Alligator mississippiensis: one gene and its partner. The protein of the gene in region 1 purifies or fractionates together with the protein of each later gene. This does not show direct contact. Links are inferred from orthologs where the notes say so. Each region holds a gene or a part of one and is shown in the gene's direction. Other genes may lie near its edges.

Region 1 (3,907 bases):
AGACTTGCATGGCAAGCCATACAAGGAGAGGCTGAGGGATCTTGGACTCTTCGCCCTAAAGCAAAGAAGGCCAAGAGGGGACCTGATTGCGGCTTACTGCTATATCAGAGGCGTACATCAGGGGCTCGGTGAACAACTGTTTACCTGGGTGCCCTGGGGGAAAACTAGAAACAACGGCCACAATCTCCTGGAAGATAGTTTCAGGCTGAACATTAGGGAAAACTTCTTCACAGCTGGGGTGTCCAGACTATGGGACAAGCTCCCCCCAGAGGTGGTGCAATCATCTACCCACAAGGTCTTCAGGGGGAGACTGGACGGTCACCTGGCTCGGTCATCTGACCCCAGATGTCTTTCTTACTCGTGCAGGGGGCTGGACCCAATGATCCGTCGGGGTCCCTTCCAGCCCTGCGATTCTATACAGCAGATACAGATGATTTAATATACGGTCTTCCTTGCTACCACCTCCTTTCAGGCCTTGCGCTTTAACTGCATCTCGTTCCTGGTTTGGTTAGCCACGGGGTTGGCTTCCTTTCCTTCGCTGACCGAGCTACTGTCACGTCTGCAAAGGTTCAGGCGACGATCACCTAGAAAGAGGCTTTGCAGCTTTCTGCTTAGTCGCACACCCGCAGCTCGGCCCAGGCCCCTCGGAGATGGCCAAGGCTGGGGACGCTGGGCTTGCAGATCGCGGGCTTGGCCGCGGCAAGAAGCTGACCAGGTCCCGGGGCTTGGCGGGGCCGCGCCAGTGACGGGTGCGGGGAGCTGCTGAACCCGAGGAGCGCAGGAGGCGGAGCCGGGGCTGCAGGTGACGCCAGGACCGCCCTGTGCTCGCAGGAGGGGCCCATGCAGCACAGACACGCCCGCGGCCCCTTTAAATCCCCGCCCCGCCCCTCCCCTCCGCGCGCGTCGTTCCAGTGTTGGCGGCACAAAGCTTCCCGCGAGTGTGACGTCAGCGCCGGCAGCCTCCGCCCCACGTGACCGCGCGTGGCACCGCCTCCCGATTGGGCGTGCGGCGGCCTTCAGCGCATGACGTCGCGCGGCGCGGGCGGTGGTTGGCTGAGCGGCCCCGGGCTGGGAGGTGGTGTGCGGCCCCGCCCCCCGGGTGTGCGCGAGGCGGCGGCGCGTGGCAGCTGCGGCGGCTCCCGGGTCCGGGCCCGGGTCCGAGCCCCGAGCGCAGGCGGCGCCGAGCCCGGCCCGGCCCGGCCATGACGGACTTCAAGCTGGGGATCGTGCGGCTCGGCCGGGTCGCCGGCAAGGTGCGGGCCGGGGCGGGGGCAGGGCCCGAGGGCGGCGGGGACGCTGAGGGGACTGCGGGGGGGGGGCGGCCGGGCCCAGCAGCGCCTCCCCGCGGCGGTTGGGGGCGGTTGGGGGCGGGGCGGGGGTCTCCTCAGTCCGGCGGGGCAGGGCAGGGCAGGGCCAGGCCGGGCCGGGCCGGGCCGGGCCGGTGGCGGCGGCGCAGCGGCCCGGCCACGAGGCTCGGCCCGAAGCGCCGCGGGCCGCATCCCAGCACGAGCCGCGCCCGGGGCAGGCCTCCGCTTCTCCCCGCGCGGGCCTGGCTGGAGCCGCCGCCGAGTCCGCCACTTCGTTTCCCGGCGTCCCCTGGGCGGGTGCCCGCAACCCAGCTGCGGACCGGGGGTTGCCCTGCCGGGTCGTGCCCAGAGCCGCGGGCCTGCTGCAGTGCGTGCTCCTGTCTGGCCGGCGCCCACCCGCACCTGTGCTGGAGGCTCCCCGGGTGCGCCCTGGGCTCAGGGGACATGGGGCAAATCGGCCACGCCAGCCTGGTTTTGGGCTTTCCCAGTAGCTAGGGACACGGCGGGTGCCGCCCACGCACGTGCAGTTTCGAGAAGCGTGAGGCACTCGATATGGGCTTAACCTACTACTCTGTTCTCCTCCTCCCCGAACCTAGCGTCAGGGAAGGGAGGCCTGGACTGATGGCGAGAGAGCACGTGGGATTTGGAGCCGGCTCTTTGCCAGGAGTTGAGCAGCCGTAGAAATGAGACGGGGATTCTCCCTCCCTGAGCTGTCAGTGGCGGCTCTCGACCGGAGACCTGCTCTGGGGGCTGGCTTCTTCCAGATCCTGGAAGGGCTGAATAGTTTGTTGTCTCACTGATGACCTCAAAAGTGTTCACCGTCCCGCTGGGTGTTGTCTCCGGTGTGCTGGGGGTCTGAGTGTTTTGTCCGTCCATTCCTGTGCGGATCACCATTATTACGTGATGGCCTATAGCCACAGATCTGTACCTGCATAAACTGGGTGGCAAAGTGATCTTATCAGGACTTGGTTATATCAGTGCTGCTTGCTTACTTTGCTAAAGTATTTCAAGTTCAGTTTGTTTCAGAATCACTTCAGGATTGACTTTGGATCTTTTAAGACATTTCAGCTTTTCTTAACTGCTCTTAATATGTTTGATATATTTCAGACAAAGTATACGCTCATAGACGAACAAGACATCCCATTAGTGGAAAGTTACTCTTTTGAGGTGAGAAATCTAAACTCCCTTTTTAAAATGAAACAAAAAACTCCTGTATTGTCTGACCGAATGTATGGTAGCTGTATTTTGATTAGAGTTGTGCCACCAAATCGTACGTCTACACAGTGGTTGAATACGTCCTTCTCAGCTGCGTGCTGAGGTAGATAGATAGTTTCATGCCTAAATGACTTGAAGTGGTTTCTGGGATGGTTACAGACCAGTTTAACTGTCTTTAAAAGAAGAGTTTATTGGAAATTATTGAACAGACTTTTTTTGTTTGAATGCTTATTTGTTAGAACAGATGATTTCTAGGAAAGGGCCGGCTTCAATAATTTTCACATTTTGAAGGAAATTTGAGAGAGAAATATTTCCAGATGGTAAAAATGGAAACTTGGAGGCATTCAAAATGAGAAGTTACTTATTTATGGAAAACAAAGTGAAAATAAAGTGTAAAAATAAAAGTCTGAAGCCCAGATGCTTTGGAATTACCAAAATAATTTTTTTCCTCAGTCTAACTTAAATATTTTTGGATTTCAGTCTCAAATTTGAAACTAACTTTTCTTATTGATTTGAGGTGAGGAAATGTCTCAACCTTAAATTTTCATGGGGCCAGAGAACTATTTTCAATCCGGGTCTGCTTCATGGTGTTAAACTAGATCTACCTGGGTTTATCATTGGAGGGGTTTTCTTGATTTAAAAAAAAAAAAAAAAATCCCTTAGTCCTTTCTCTATTAAGAAAGACTTGCCTTGTTCTGCTTGAACAGTGCCTCTACCAATGTGGTCATGGCCTCTGATTGGGGTTCTTCAGTGCTACAGTAATAGAATGAAGTTTGTGCTTCATTTTTTTTTTTTTTCCATTTTCCCAATCTCATTAGTTGTTGCTGTGGTGTTGCAGGTAAAACTGCTAGATTCTGAAGCAACTAATATATCCACTCCATGGTGGATATTTATCTTTTAAAAGTACATAAATAATGTCCTAGTACCATAGCTTCAGACATTGGTTTCCAGTATGTTTATTCTCTCAACAGTGCTATGGAGTAAGGAAGTGTTATTATTGCTACTTTACAGAGTGGGGATGAGGCTCAGAGAAACTGGATATATGTGAAGTCTAGTGCAGAGCAGGGAGTAGACCTTAGACTGGTGCTGGATTATTATTCCCATTTGCCTAAATGAAACTTTCTTGTACTGGACAGCCCACTTTTGTCACCCCCAGTCATCACAAAGTATAACTTTGTGGTCCCTGCCTAAGGGAGGTACTAAATAGCCACTTAACTGAAATCCCATTAAGATCACCTCCCATGTGATAGATTTCCTGCAGTTGCTGGGGGCAGACATTGTTGGGTCTTGGTGTTTTCCTGTCTCCCAAATCCCAGATGGCACTTTCTGTGCTGCTGCTGACAGTTGGATGCCCTCGGTCACAGAACACTCTTTCCTTCTCCCCA
Region 2 (3,907 bases), on another chromosome or scaffold:
CACTGAAGTCATCCCCAAAATCTCTGACCAGTGAGGCCAGGATCCCAGGTCTCATTCCTTCATGCTTTAACATCCCTTGGCCATAAGTTGCTGCTTCCACTCATTTGACCATTTCCAAGCAAACATTTTTGTTGCCTAAATTTGCTCCAGCACTTTGAAGCTGCTGGGCCATGAGGGAGCTGTTTCTTGTTGATTTGAAGGTAGAGAGAACAAACCATGTTTCTTCTCAGCCCCATCCTGGAGCAGGGGGCCCTGCTCCCATGTTTGGTACCAGGTTGGGGCCTGGGACAGGGGGGCTGTATTCACAACCCGGGTCAGAGAGGTAGAGCTGTGCACCAGGCCTGTGTCACATGCTACATTTATCACACAATTCACCGGTGAACGGCACATCAAACTTGGACTGGGCACACCCACCACATGGCCATCCACTTATGAAAAGAGCTGCAAGACGGCTACAAAGCGAGTGCTTGAACAGGGGTAACAACTCTAGGTCTGGGTCCTACCCAACTCTCATTGTAAGGTGTGCCAGAGTCCCTGATGCCTTGGCACGGCTAGGGGCGTCAGCAGATTCCACACACGACGGTGCCTCGACCCAGCAGATTCGTTACACCTTTCCCGCCCTGGGGTGTTTTATGAATGAACGTACTACGCATGCGCCTCGAAACGCGACCGCCAGTTGAGTCTAACTCTGCCCCTTCCCTTCCCCTCCCCGGCTCCAAGGCAGCTTGCGCACGCGCAGATCTGACCTACAGCCCTTCCTCGGTGCGAGGGCAGCCCGCACATGCGCAGGAGCTCTCTCCTGCGCCGCTCGGCGAGTCAAAGGGCCCGTGGCGGCGCCTGCGCACTGGGCCGGGCCGGTGGAAGGCAGCTGGCGTTTGGTGCCGGCCGATTCGCGCAGGCCGCTCGGCTTGGCCCGGCGCTGGGCCCGCCCCTCCCCCGCGAGCGATGCGGCCCTGCCCGGCGGCGGCAGCACGGGGCTGACGGGAGGCGCCGCCGCCGCGCTTCCAAGATGGCGTGTGTGCTGGAGGCGCCGCTCCGCATGAGCGTCCTCTCGGTGAGGCCGCCGGGCCGGGGCGGGAGCGGGACTGGAACGGAACGGAACGGAGCGGGGCGGGGCGGGGCGGGGCGGGCGGCGCGCTGCGGAGCGGCCCCTGGGGCGGGAACCGGGACTAGCGCCGCCGCCCGGGCCGGGGTGGGCTGGGCTGACAGCGTCTGCCGCTCCCGGCCCGCCACATCGGTCGTTCTGCGCTCCGCTCCCCGCCCTGCCCTCGCCGCTCTGCGCTCCGCCCGCCGCCCTGCCTGGTGCCCCATTTGCTGCTCTGTTCCCGCCCCACCTGCTGCTCTGCTCTCCACTTGCCCCCTGCCTGCTGCTGAACTGCCTGCCTGCCTGCTTTACTTACTGGCTGCTCTGCAATGTGCTCCCTCCCCGCAGCGTCTGCTCCCAGCCCTGTGCTCCCCACCCCATCTGCCCCTCAGCTTTACACTTGCCACCCCACCTGCTGCTGTGCTTTCCCCTGTTCTGAATCTGGTGGACCACATGCAGAAGTGTCTTGTGCCCCTTGAGGCAGCTATGCCCCAAGTTGGCCACTCCTGGTTTAGTGGATAGTGTGTCTCAATGTTAAATGTAAGAGCCAAAGTAGTGTTTGTGTCCTGATACCACTTCTGCCTCATCATTGGCCATCCCATGATTCAAGGACTATCTCTACCATGGGTCACTGATCTTAGGGGATCTTAGGTGATTTAAGAGTCTGATCCTTGAGCCACAGATTTGTCAATTTTTGCATTAGATAGTTAAAGGGCTGAGAGGCATTTGGATGTTACCCTGGTGTCTTTCCCATTCTCTTGTCTACATCATGTTTAATTTTGGATTTCTTCTCTCCTTTGAAGTGAGAGCTGTAGTATTACTTTCTCTTTCAGAAGAAGCTCCTCTTGCCTTGTTCTACCTGCATTTATGCTGATCCTTGAGGAGGAGTTGGGTCTGCGCTTCCTGGAGGCCTGTATTTTTGCTAGGTAGAGCTGGGCAAATAAAAGACTACTCGGTTCGGTGGTTGAAGAAGAGGAGTGTTCTCAAATTGAAGCAGAACTTTGTTTTGGCATAAGCAAAACACATGTTCTGTTTCATTTGCAGGCACTTTATCTGCTTTGTGCCCCTTTTAAATCATAGGTCACTTCACATATAACAAAATGCCTTTCAAAGCAAACCGTTCTTCTGAAAATGTTTTGACATTAGAAAAAATCTTCCATGTTGCCACTGAAATAAGTGGATTCAGTGGGATTTCACAAGTAGTTTGGGTTATTTCAAAGCTCTGTTTTTCTGGCAAATTTTTACTGTTCACTGAAAACATCTTGCCAACCTCTTGTCTTGTTTGTAAAAACTGCTGTACAGGGATTGTAGAGCACTCTTGCCAGTTCATTGCCAGGAAGTGGAAATCAGCTTGGCAATAGAAGCCTGATCCCTTTGCTCTTGTAAGTCTTCTGGGTCTTCTCAGGTGGCCTAGTTGCTGTGCTTTGTAGTGCAGGGAGGAGGCACATCCACTGCAGTTGCCCTTTGATCTTTTGGTGGGGTATATTGCTTTTAAGTGGATATTGAAAGGGATGCTTTCATTCTTTGCCTCTGGGACACGTTTGTTTACTGACTGCAGTTGTGTCCCATGTTCGTAAATCCTAGCTTGCCAGCCTCAAATGGTATCTTGCAGTAACTGTGTCTTAACTCTTATGAAACAGCTTTTAGGTAATGTCCTGCCCACTTGGCATGAAATGGTCTAGAGGCCAGTTGCCACTTTTATTATAAATAATCTTAGTCTGTTTTGGTTTGCTTTTTCTCACTAGGTAAGAAGACATTGTATTTGATGGGTATAAAATTTGCCTTGTACGCTATGTCCAGCCTGGGGTATGCAGTGATAGCAGCTTTGGCTGTGGCTTTAGGTACAGGGAGATAGCTGATCTGGCATGGGGCTCAGCTCTGGTTTCTGCTGCCTGGCCTGTGCTGGAGCTGAAACTGCAGCCACTGTACTTGCCCTGTGACATAGCAGCAACAGCTACAGTTCTGGCATGGGCAAAGGGGTGATGATGAGGCCACTGGCAGAGGAGTTAGGACTGCAGCAGTGATGACACAAGAAGTAGCAAGGAATGTATCAGCCCTTGCTCACCTTTCTGCTGCCAATCCCCATGTCCATCAGAACCCAAGGATGCTTGATACCAGCTGGGGTGCATCGCATGCTGCAGAAATCTGCCAGTGTCCTGACACTCCTGCTTTACCTGAACTTTAGAGCTGGTCAGCAGGCTAGAAAGCAGCAGATTCTAGCTTTGGAAGCTTAATGAAGGTCTGGACCTAAAATCTATCTGGGTCCTGCCTCACCATACATGCCCTGCCTCACCTGGGCTGTGCTGAGACTATCCTGCTCCCTTGGGCTAGATAACCAAAGTGACGTAATAAGCAGAAGCCATTCTTGAAGGAAATGTAGATCTAGATGCTCCAGGTGGTTCATCTTCTGCCCCTTGATGCCACACTGGTCTGGAGGAGGGCAGTACCACACCAGAAATCCAGCTGGATAAAGAGGTGAAGGTTTAGTCCAAGGTCACTTGCCATTCCAAAAACAAGGCAGAGCTTCCACAAATCACCTTCATTCTTTCAAGGAAATTCATCAAGGAAGAAGGTAAAAGCTTAATAAAGGAAGAAAAGGCTCAGTTGACAGACCTTAACATCTTTTATAAGGGTGCAGGCTAAATTTTCCAAATCTGATGCCCTGAGCTAGCTGCTTACGTATGGCTTTAGGAAATCCTTTAATATGTGGCCTTTTTTTTTCAGGAGTGCTGAATACAAACAAATCCCAATAGGTCAGGGAGACCTGCAGATGCCTGGTACTTTTGAAAATCAAGCAACTTTTAGTGTAGCGTATTAATTTAT

The links.
Region 2: the proteins of ZMYND19 (region 1) and ARMC8 purify together in Homo sapiens (affinity purification with mass spectrometry; 4 studies listed by BioGRID and IntAct, with this or other methods). This does not show direct contact. The link is inferred for Alligator mississippiensis from reciprocal best matches to the Homo sapiens genes ZMYND19 and ARMC8.

Annotation. Positions count from the first base shown.
Region 1 is NC_081835.1:49,282,557-49,286,463, forward strand, and holds the start of ZMYND19 (zinc finger MYND domain-containing protein 19), read left to right. Parts: upstream 1-1,095; 5' UTR 1,096-1,202; coding exon 1,203-1,253; intron 1,254-2,414; coding exon 2,415-2,474; intron 2,475-3,907. UniProt on the Homo sapiens protein: May be involved as a regulatory molecule in GPR24/MCH-R1 signaling.
Region 2 is NC_081830.1:29,559,765-29,563,671, forward strand, and holds the start of ARMC8 (armadillo repeat-containing protein 8), read left to right. Parts: upstream 1-971; 5' UTR 972-1,009; coding exon 1,010-1,054; intron 1,055-3,907. UniProt on the Homo sapiens protein: Component of the CTLH E3 ubiquitin-protein ligase complex that selectively accepts ubiquitin from UBE2H and mediates ubiquitination and subsequent proteasomal degradation of the transcription factor HBP1.